Coturnix japonica: one gene and its partner. The protein of the gene in region 2 interacts with the protein of the main gene of each other region in a pairwise test. Links are inferred from orthologs where the notes say so. Each region holds a gene or a part of one and is shown on either strand. Other genes may lie near its edges. The genes, in order: RPP14 and RPP30.

Region 1 (4,234 bases), on a different chromosome or scaffold from region 2:
CCTGCAGGGGCGGCACGAGCCCGTGGGGCCTCACACGGAGCGGAGGAGAAGCGCCGTCCTCATCAACGCATCATGAGCTGAAATACAGCCGCACTGCCCTGCACTGCCCTAACACCACATGTAGGCAGCTCCGTGCCTTATTCTGGCTCTGGGGTGGTGAAAGTGCCATGAAAAGTTCAGTGAAGATTCGGCCTCTTCCTCTCGCTTACCTAAAATCTGCACAATTTTTTTTTCCCCCTGTAAATATTAGTTAAATTTCCTTACAGCAGAACTGAGAGCCTAGTTGGGAACCGACAGCCCGGCTCCCTGTGTGTCAGTGACTCCCACAGGGAGCTGTGTGCGAACAAGGCTTGTATTGCTCGTATGAAGGCCGACTACTCTGTACATGTAGGAGCTACAGCAGTGCAGCACAGCACACTGCAGCACCACCGGCCAGAGCTGCAGTGCACATTACCTGCCAGTCCTGCACTATGTGTCTGCACTTCCACTAGTCCACATTAACAGATGGCAAGTGACAAAGATGAAAACCAAACATACATTTCTGCCTTTACTGCGAAATAACACAAGATCAACAGCTGGGACTTGCTGGCACCATGACGTTCACCATCCCTTCCAGAACAGTCTTCCCACTTTGTCTGACTTGACACGATACCGCAATGCGTGCGATGGAGCTCCTCAGTCGTTTCACTTCTGCTGTAGCCGTCACTTCTTCTCCAGTATACAAAGGAGCTGGAAATCGAATGTCCTGAGATAGAAACACACAGCCCTGCCCAGGCATTTTGGTACCCAGAACTGCAGAGATCAGTCCATTGATCAAAACCCCGTGTACTACGGTTCTACCAAATCTAGTTTGCTTGGCAAAATCTTCACTTAAATGCAAAGGGTTTGTGTCACCTGTTAAATGAGAAAAAGTAACAACATCGTGCTGTGTAAAAACTCGGCTGAGTTCAGCTTTGTCTCCCACTTTTATGTGTAAATTCTGAAGCTGTAGACATGCAAAGGGCAGGTTGGTAACCACCGGCTTTGTGGAAGGTCTGTGTTGGAAATGCCCTCTAGGAATTACACGCCTGAAGAGAAGCAACATTCCAAGGAACTTGTGAGAGTCCAAGCAGCCGCACTCAGTCCAAGAGCAGCTCCCTGCTGTCCCCAGCTAATGCCAGAAGAAACGGAGACATCTTGTTTGGGGGGAAGAAAACAAGAAAACAAGAAGCATTAAAAATAAATAAATCATCAAATGTAGCCAGAGGTGAAAATATTTAATCCTCCCGTTATGTAGGTTTTAAAATAAGAGCTGTGACTAAGCAGATATTTGTGTAGCCACGGCTTCAGGCACAAAGAATTCACGGAAGACAACTTATTAAAGCAGAATCCTCAGGGGGGAAAGGAAAGCACAGAGCTCTGGAGGTGCACATTTCTGCAGGTGTTTTTACATGAGGCCATCACTGACTGTTAGAAAGGGAGAAAATGGGAAGAAATGTGCCAGACAAACAGGCAGCCCAGCAGTGACAGCAGGGGAGGCCCCCACCTACCTGCAGCACCCGGAAGGCACAGCGCCTGTTCTGGTAGAAGCCCTGCAGGGTCAGAGCACTCCACAGCTTGACCAGGCCACTGAGTGAAAATAAGACAAAAGACGTTAATTTATTGCTTTTTCTTTCTCTTCCTGCAGCAAAAACGTTTTTAAAACACGTTACGCAAAGAGCAACGAAGCGGAGTTTGATAACCTGTAATGTCACCAGTGAGTTCTGGTAACAGCTGTGTGTCATGAAGGGTTGTTGTAAGGGCTGCAGCCTTGTCCCTAACATACAGCAGATGCTCACTGTGACCATGTTACATTACTGGCCCTGTTCTTACATTCTTACTGTGCCTTTAAGCACCATTTCCCCCACAGCACCTGCATCTATCTCCAACATTTAAACCTGATTTTACACCTTCCAGCAGGGCTTTGCTCCTTCCGGACCCTCCTGTCCTACAGCACGTGGTGACCAAACCTTACGGACTTTATATTTCATCGCATTGTCAGGAGATGGCTGGGGCCCAACCACGCTTCCACACGCCTCACCTGCTAATCACTCTCAGGATGGCACACAGTGTTTTCTCCTCGTAGGCCAACACGTCGACAGGCAAAGCGGCTCCAACCTACAGACACAGACACGGTTACGTGCAGCCGGGCACCGCGCACCGCCCTGCTCTCCCCGTACCTCTCCGTGCAGCTCCCGCAGCGCCGTCACCACCAGCTGCTTCAGCTGCGGGGCTCCGGGCCGGGCCGCGCCGTCGGGCAGCTCCCTGCGGGGAAACAGAGCGGCGATCAGAACCGGGGGGCGGCGAGGGGCGGGGCGGGGAGCGGGGGCTCACACACAGGCGGACCCGCAGGTAGCAGTGCTGAGCCGCGCTCCGCAGCACACGCCGCTCGTAGGCGGCAACGGGCGGCTCCGTTCGCTCCATGCGCCCGGCGGGACGGCGCGGCCCGCCCCCAACTACGGCGGCACCGCGGGGACATGGCGGGGCGGGGCTGGCGGCGCAGCGTGGGTCACAGGAAGGCGGTTCCCATCTCCTCAACCACCCCGTGCAGAGGAACTCTGGGCAGCTTTCCGTATCTGACCTTTGGATTTTGTCCCCTTGGGAGCAAACATCCACTGACAGCACAGCTGTGTCAGGTTGCGAAGGGCAGGCAGGGCTCCTTGCTGCAGCCCGCTCTCACCTTCTGCTGACGCCGATACAACACACTTCTATCAGCTGAAGCCTTCAGTGCTTTAAAGGTGTCCGTAAGAAAACAGCAACAGCAAGGCCTCCCCTGTAAACATTCAGCAGAGCTCATCTCCAACCATGGCAATGCTCCGGTCTCCCATGCAGTCTGCAGGACACCTCATGGACACCTTCCCCGAGCCACTTCCAACCTAACTTAAAAGCTGTTCGTAAAATACCAAATGCTTTAAACGAAGCTTCAGCACAAGCAGATGTGAAATAATGTTTTCCAACATTCAACATGTACCAAAGGTCTCATCAAATTATTAGTGAGCTTAAAAAGAGCAGCTTGCCACACAGAATGCAGCAGCAAGAGAACTCAAGGAATCCTGTGCTCCTCTCCTAGAGCAGAGAAACAGCACAGAGCCCAAATAATCCTCCTCCAGTTATCTGGCACACACGCCTGAGCTGCCACTTTTATTTGGAGCAATAACATCTACAGCAATTTCTATTCGTTTTCAAAGATAACAGCAAAATGTAATGACTGGAGAGCGAAACGTGGTGGTCAGGTCACATCCAAACCCATATTGGTTACTGCAATAGGGTGAGGGCTGTTCTCCACGAGCCCTGATAACAGAAGGAGCTCGGACACCCCAAGGAAACGTGTTTAGCTGCTGTAAAAGCCACTGTGATGCACATCAGCTGCAGCAGACAATAAGGAGCACACACAGACCGTACCAGGAAGGCTGGACACAACATGTCAGTTTATTAACCAAAAGTGAAGCCGAACCCCAGAGTGGTTTAACTTTTTAAAACCATACGTTTATATGGCAGAAACTTCTTTTTTTTTCCCACGTTAACACTGTACTGCAAGAATCAAACGTTGCAGCTGTTCACCCTTTGAGAATCAAATACTAAGTGTAAAATGAATAAGGGTCCCTCGAATCGATTAAAAACATCTTGAACTCAAAAGAACAGACCAATTGTAAGAACTGTCTTATGAAATTCTCCCAAGTGAAAGACTTTCAAAGCACTTGGAGCCTTGAGGTAGCAACTTTATGCAGAATTTAATTCCCCTCCTGCCCCACAAAGCGGAGGAAAATTAGTAACGCATTATTAGCTCCAGCCAGCTTAGCGGAGTCGAGTGTTCTCTGATGAGGTTAGTGACTTTCTCTTCCACCTTGGAACAGCAGGATAGTGCTGCAGACATCAGGAGAAAATCCACAAGGAAGGCATCTTGAAAGAAAACCTCTGGTTGGAAGGAAGTGAAATGATCAGCAATAACTGTAACAACAGAAATTATCTGGAGTGAAAAGAAACACAAAGTGTTTGTATTTTGGCAAGACCGGTTTACAAATACACATCAAGAACGAGAGTCCATTTCAGCCAATGGAAAAGAAAGACTGGAAGTGACATTCAAAGGGATTTCTTTTTTTTTTTGCCCTCTGTGCAAAACTGCACATTGTTTTGTTTGTCTTTTTTAGAAGAGAGCGTTTTTGCCCCCCATCCTTAATTAATCATTGTGAAACCTGTGCTGTGACATCAAACAGAA
Region 2 (4,377 bases):
TCTGCCAAGGGCAATACAGACAGATCACCTCTACCAACTCTTCCAATTCACTCTTAATGATACGACTCAGGAGCTTCCTGAGATGGTCAGATGTGCCACTTTTTCTCCCCCCATTTTGCAATGAAAGCATTTTGACAAGAAGTTGAGCTGAGCATTTGAAAGCAAGTCAGTCAGACCACTTGCAGACGTTTAGGACCAACTGATCACATCAAGGCCCTTTACCCTTCTAGGATTTCTCCCAATCTTTTAGTCTGCCTGCTGCTGACCAGAGAACCTACATTGTTTAATTAGCCCCATGACATGGCTATATAGAATGGAAAACAAAACAAAGCATGCACTCAAAGCACTCCAAGACACTGATGGTTAGTGCCAGCTCTATGACAACTCACAGATAGTACTTACATGGAACAATTTCTCCGTCTTTGGAAATACAGCTATGATGTCATACAATCTTATATTTGCAGATGTAGATCTCTACAAAAGGAGGAAATAATTACTACCTTGACTTCTGGCAGGTGACAAGCATACACACAATGATTATAACCAAAATAATAATGAGAAAATTTCCTCACCATTTTCAAGCACCAAAACAAAGACGATAATCTAATTAAATAGTAGGTCTCTACTGTGAGCAATTCTCTGAGGTCATTTTGAGGCTTGTCCCATCCACTCACATACCTTTTGTCTCAAGCACACAGCTCCACAAACACACACTGGTCTCCCTCCTGGTATTCTAGTGTACACATGGAAGTCCAGAATTCAAATAAAAGAATAAAGGAACAGAACTGCTACCCCATACTAATAAGCGATCAGCACAATCACGTTCTGTTTCACAGACACTTGCGTGAGGGGTCATGATGCTTCAGATTCTAAAGATCTGGTCTGAGAAATCAGTACTGAGTATCCTATGAAATCCATTAAATCCAATACACAACTCCCAAAGTGTCATTCTTTCGTTGAGAAAATTAAATTAAAACAAACAAACAAACAAGCAGATACACTGAATGTACTTACCAAGAGATTACAGTGGGAAGGATCAGAAACAACAAGTGTCAGCCGGGTTAAGACTTTAAGTCTTTTAGATGTCCCCTATGATGGAAAAATAATATAAGATTTTAAAAGCTGACAAACTTTGTGGCAACCTTCACCCTGCCTACTATAAAAAGAAAGTTGTGCCTTGCACCAATTCTTGCCTATAATAATTTTCTGGAAGTCTGTAGTTATGCTTCCCTAATATAAAACATATATATTGTAACTGCCCTTCAGAAAGAAGGGCTCACTGTGTTTCTCTGAGGAGTGGATAAACTGAAAGGAAAAATTGCAGCTCAGTGTAACAACACATAGATGGAACGTAATAAACACACCTGCACAATAGGCAAAGATGGAAACAGCTCTGATGGAGACACCGGCTTGGCTATTTCCTTAAAAGAAAACAAAACAAAGTTATCCAAAATACAACAGGGATGTTTAGAATGTACACAGAAGTTGTGTTCCAACTCCAAAAATAAGCTTAACATACTAACAAAATATTTCCTAAGGACAATTCACAGACCATAGTAAAAATTAACTCCAGGGCAGTAATACAGGCTTATAAAATCAGAGTTCTGTTATAAATATAAATACAAATGCCTTCATTTAGGTGAGTGCGTAAAAACAAAGGATAGAGGAGTGGCACAGAGATTTACGAGAGCAAACACATCACCAACAAAGAAGCTGAACTGAAATTACCTGTTTCTTTTCTTTAAAATCGATGACGTGATTAAGAGCAACTGCAGAATATCCCACTAAAAAAGAAAACACATTGTGAGCCTGCTTTGATCAGCAAGTAATGGAAACAGACACAAGGAGAAAACTGTCACATGCTCATTATTTAAATATCTCAAAATCAATAACGATGTGCACATTTACCTTTCACAGTGAATTTTGCTCAATGTTAACTCAAAGATGTGTCTTAAGAGTACAATTTTTTCTTTTAGCACAAGCCAGCCTTTACAACACATCCTCACTGACTGACAGTAACAAGGACAAGGGACTGTGCACGGCCAGTGCTGGGGTACGCACAGAGATGCACGGTTACCTAATGGGTACAGCAGGGCAGGCTGAGGTGTGGCTGTGAGCCTGGGGTAGTGGGGTAAGCCACAGGCTGCCAGGTCCCGGCTCTGCATCGACACGAAGGCTGCGCCTTGCAGCAGCGGACTGGAAGATGCATTATGAGGGGAGATGTGACCACGATTGAAGGGTGATACAAACAGAAAGACTGCCGTGGTGGACAGGACTAGAGAAAGCCATAAAGCCTGTGCTGAAGATCAGTAACCCTGGAACAAGTTCTCTGCAGAGGTTGGAGAGTAACCGGAGATAATAACAGCGCTGTTCAGGCACAGCACAGACCCCGTGCCCTCGCTGGGCAGGGCAGGACCGGCGCATGGAGCTTCCGCCCCGTCCAGCCCCGCTTCTCCATCCTTCACGCCGCTGCTGCAGCCCTCAGCCAGCGCCGCCTTCCAGCACAGCCACCCCATCCTCAACAACACATCCACCCGCTCCCAGCCCCGACTCACGGTTCGCCGCAGCCTCCAGCACGCTCTGCACGGCCTTCCTATCCGCGCCCTGCGGGACGTTCAGATCGGCGAAGCCGGCCATGCTGCGCAGCACGGGGCGGAACGAAGGCTGTGAGCGCAGCCGGCACCGCCCCCGGCGGCCCGGAGCAACCTGGGGCTGGTAGTCCTGCTACGAGGAGCGGGATGGGCTCTGGACCAGCAGGCGGAGCTCTGGGTGATGGAGCGTGCGAGCTTTTATGCGCTCCTGAACGTGTCCGTGGGGGGCTGTGCTGCGAGCGGAGCAGTCGGGAGCTCGGGGTGTGTGCGCTGCCCAGCAGGGGGAGATGCGCTTCTGCTCCTCTTAGCGGCCGGATCGCCTCCCACCGAGCGCAGCTACTGTATGGCCCGAGGGGGGGTGGAACCGTTCCTAGTTAAGGCCATCGTTTTCCTGCGTTAACTAAAAAATGTGAAATAAAATCCTAGGTTGATTAGTCCCAGCTTCTCTAGAGATATTCCCTAAAATGCAAAAGAGATGAACAATTCCAGGAGACCACAAATCAAACATGCTTTGACTCTGTAGCACTGTTGAAAAACCCACCCATTTTATTGCTGCTAATCAGCACATATGTGAAATACAGGTGGTAATGACCACTTTTGTTGCTGTTTGGGACAGTTACAGCAGCTGCTAAAACAAGCAAGGCTGTGATTTCTTCACATCATCAAGGTGGTATTGGGAGGCCTCACAAGCCCTCTGCTTCCACTTCCTTGAGCCTGGAGGTTCAGTGGGTTATTTGGAATGCTAAACCCTTAACCAGGCAGAATTGCTCCAGCAATGCCCACAGCTCCCAGGCACGTCCCTGCCCACAGCACTGCTCCTTGGCACACTGAGGCCGAAGAGTTTATAAGCTCCCTTTAAACACAGAAAGGCTGCAACGAGATCTCCCTGGTGCCTTCCCCAGATTGAACAAACCTATCTCCAGGGAAGTACTCCAGCTCTCTGAGCACCTTCGTGGCCATCCTTGTGACCCATCACAACAGCTCCATATCACTCCTGTGCTGGGAGCCCCAGGCTTGGACACTGTGCTCCAGGTGGGGGCTCACAAGGACAGTACAGAGTGAAACAGTCACCTCCCTCTTCATGCTGCCACCCCTCTGTTGATGCAGCCCAGAATACAGTTGCTCTATGGGCTGCAAGTGCACACTGCTGGCTCATATCCAACTTTTTGTCCATCAAGTCTCCAAGTCTTCCTCAGCAGGGCTGCTCTCAGTGAGTTTTTCTCCCAGTCTGAATGTCTGGGGTTGCCCCAGCTCAAATACAACACCTTGAATTTGGCTGTGCTGAACCTCACTAGGTTTTTGTGGGTCCATTTTTCAAGCCTATCCAGGTCTCCCTGGAAGATGTTCCTTCCTCCTACGTTTCCTATGTTTCAGCAAATTCTGCTTTGGCCTATCTGTGCCCTTAACATGTTTCCTATTGGAATAGCCAGTGCTGCTTCTCTGCCAAATATCTGAACACACAGCCCAAATCAAATGGTCTTCTTAAGGCTTTTCTGTGAAGTGTGTGGACATGGGAGAACTCAAAGCATTATTTCAAGTGTTTTTTTTGTTTTCTTTGTTTGTTTGGTTTTTTTGACAGTGTATGATGGAACTTGATTTAATTTGTCTGAATAAATGTGAGAAGAAATCCATAAATATGTATCAATTATTTCTGAACATCTCTTTTGGACTAATGTTCAGAGACATTAAACAAGATTAAGCAGCTTTTTTTTTTTTTTAGGCAACAGACAAGCAAAACAAACCTTTTCTCGAGGCACTTAAAATGGAGAGTACTTAAACAGATCAT

Evidence for each region.
Region 1: the proteins of RPP30 (region 2) and RPP14 interact in binary tests that used the Homo sapiens proteins (3 or more experiments, as listed by UniProt). The link is inferred for Coturnix japonica from reciprocal best matches to the Homo sapiens genes RPP30 and RPP14.

The regions. Positions count from the first base shown.
Region 1 is NC_029527.1:9,298,553-9,302,786, reverse strand, and holds RPP14 (ribonuclease P protein subunit p14), read right to left. Parts: upstream 2,492-4,234; 5' UTR 2,443-2,491; coding exon 2,357-2,442; intron 2,284-2,356; coding exon 2,199-2,283; intron 2,137-2,198; coding exon 2,060-2,136; intron 1,609-2,059; coding exon 1,530-1,608; intron 1,176-1,529; coding exon 1,119-1,175; 3' UTR 1,085-1,118; coding exon of another isoform or gene 569-1,084; 3' UTR 522-568; downstream 1-521. Other genes in the region: HTD2 (hydroxyacyl-thioester dehydratase type 2, mitochondrial), read right to left, coding at 569-1,084. UniProt on the Homo sapiens protein: Component of ribonuclease P, a ribonucleoprotein complex that generates mature tRNA molecules by cleaving their 5'-ends.
Region 2 is NC_029521.1:17,047,457-17,051,833, reverse strand, and holds the start of RPP30 (ribonuclease P protein subunit p30), read right to left. Parts: upstream 2,924-4,377; 5' UTR 2,638-2,923; coding exon 2,556-2,637; intron 1,785-2,555; coding exon 1,729-1,784; intron 1,422-1,728; coding exon 1,365-1,421; intron 1,090-1,364; coding exon 1,015-1,089; intron 475-1,014; coding exon 403-474; intron 1-402. UniProt on the Homo sapiens protein: Component of ribonuclease P, a ribonucleoprotein complex that generates mature tRNA molecules by cleaving their 5'-ends. Also a component of the MRP ribonuclease complex, which cleaves pre-rRNA sequences.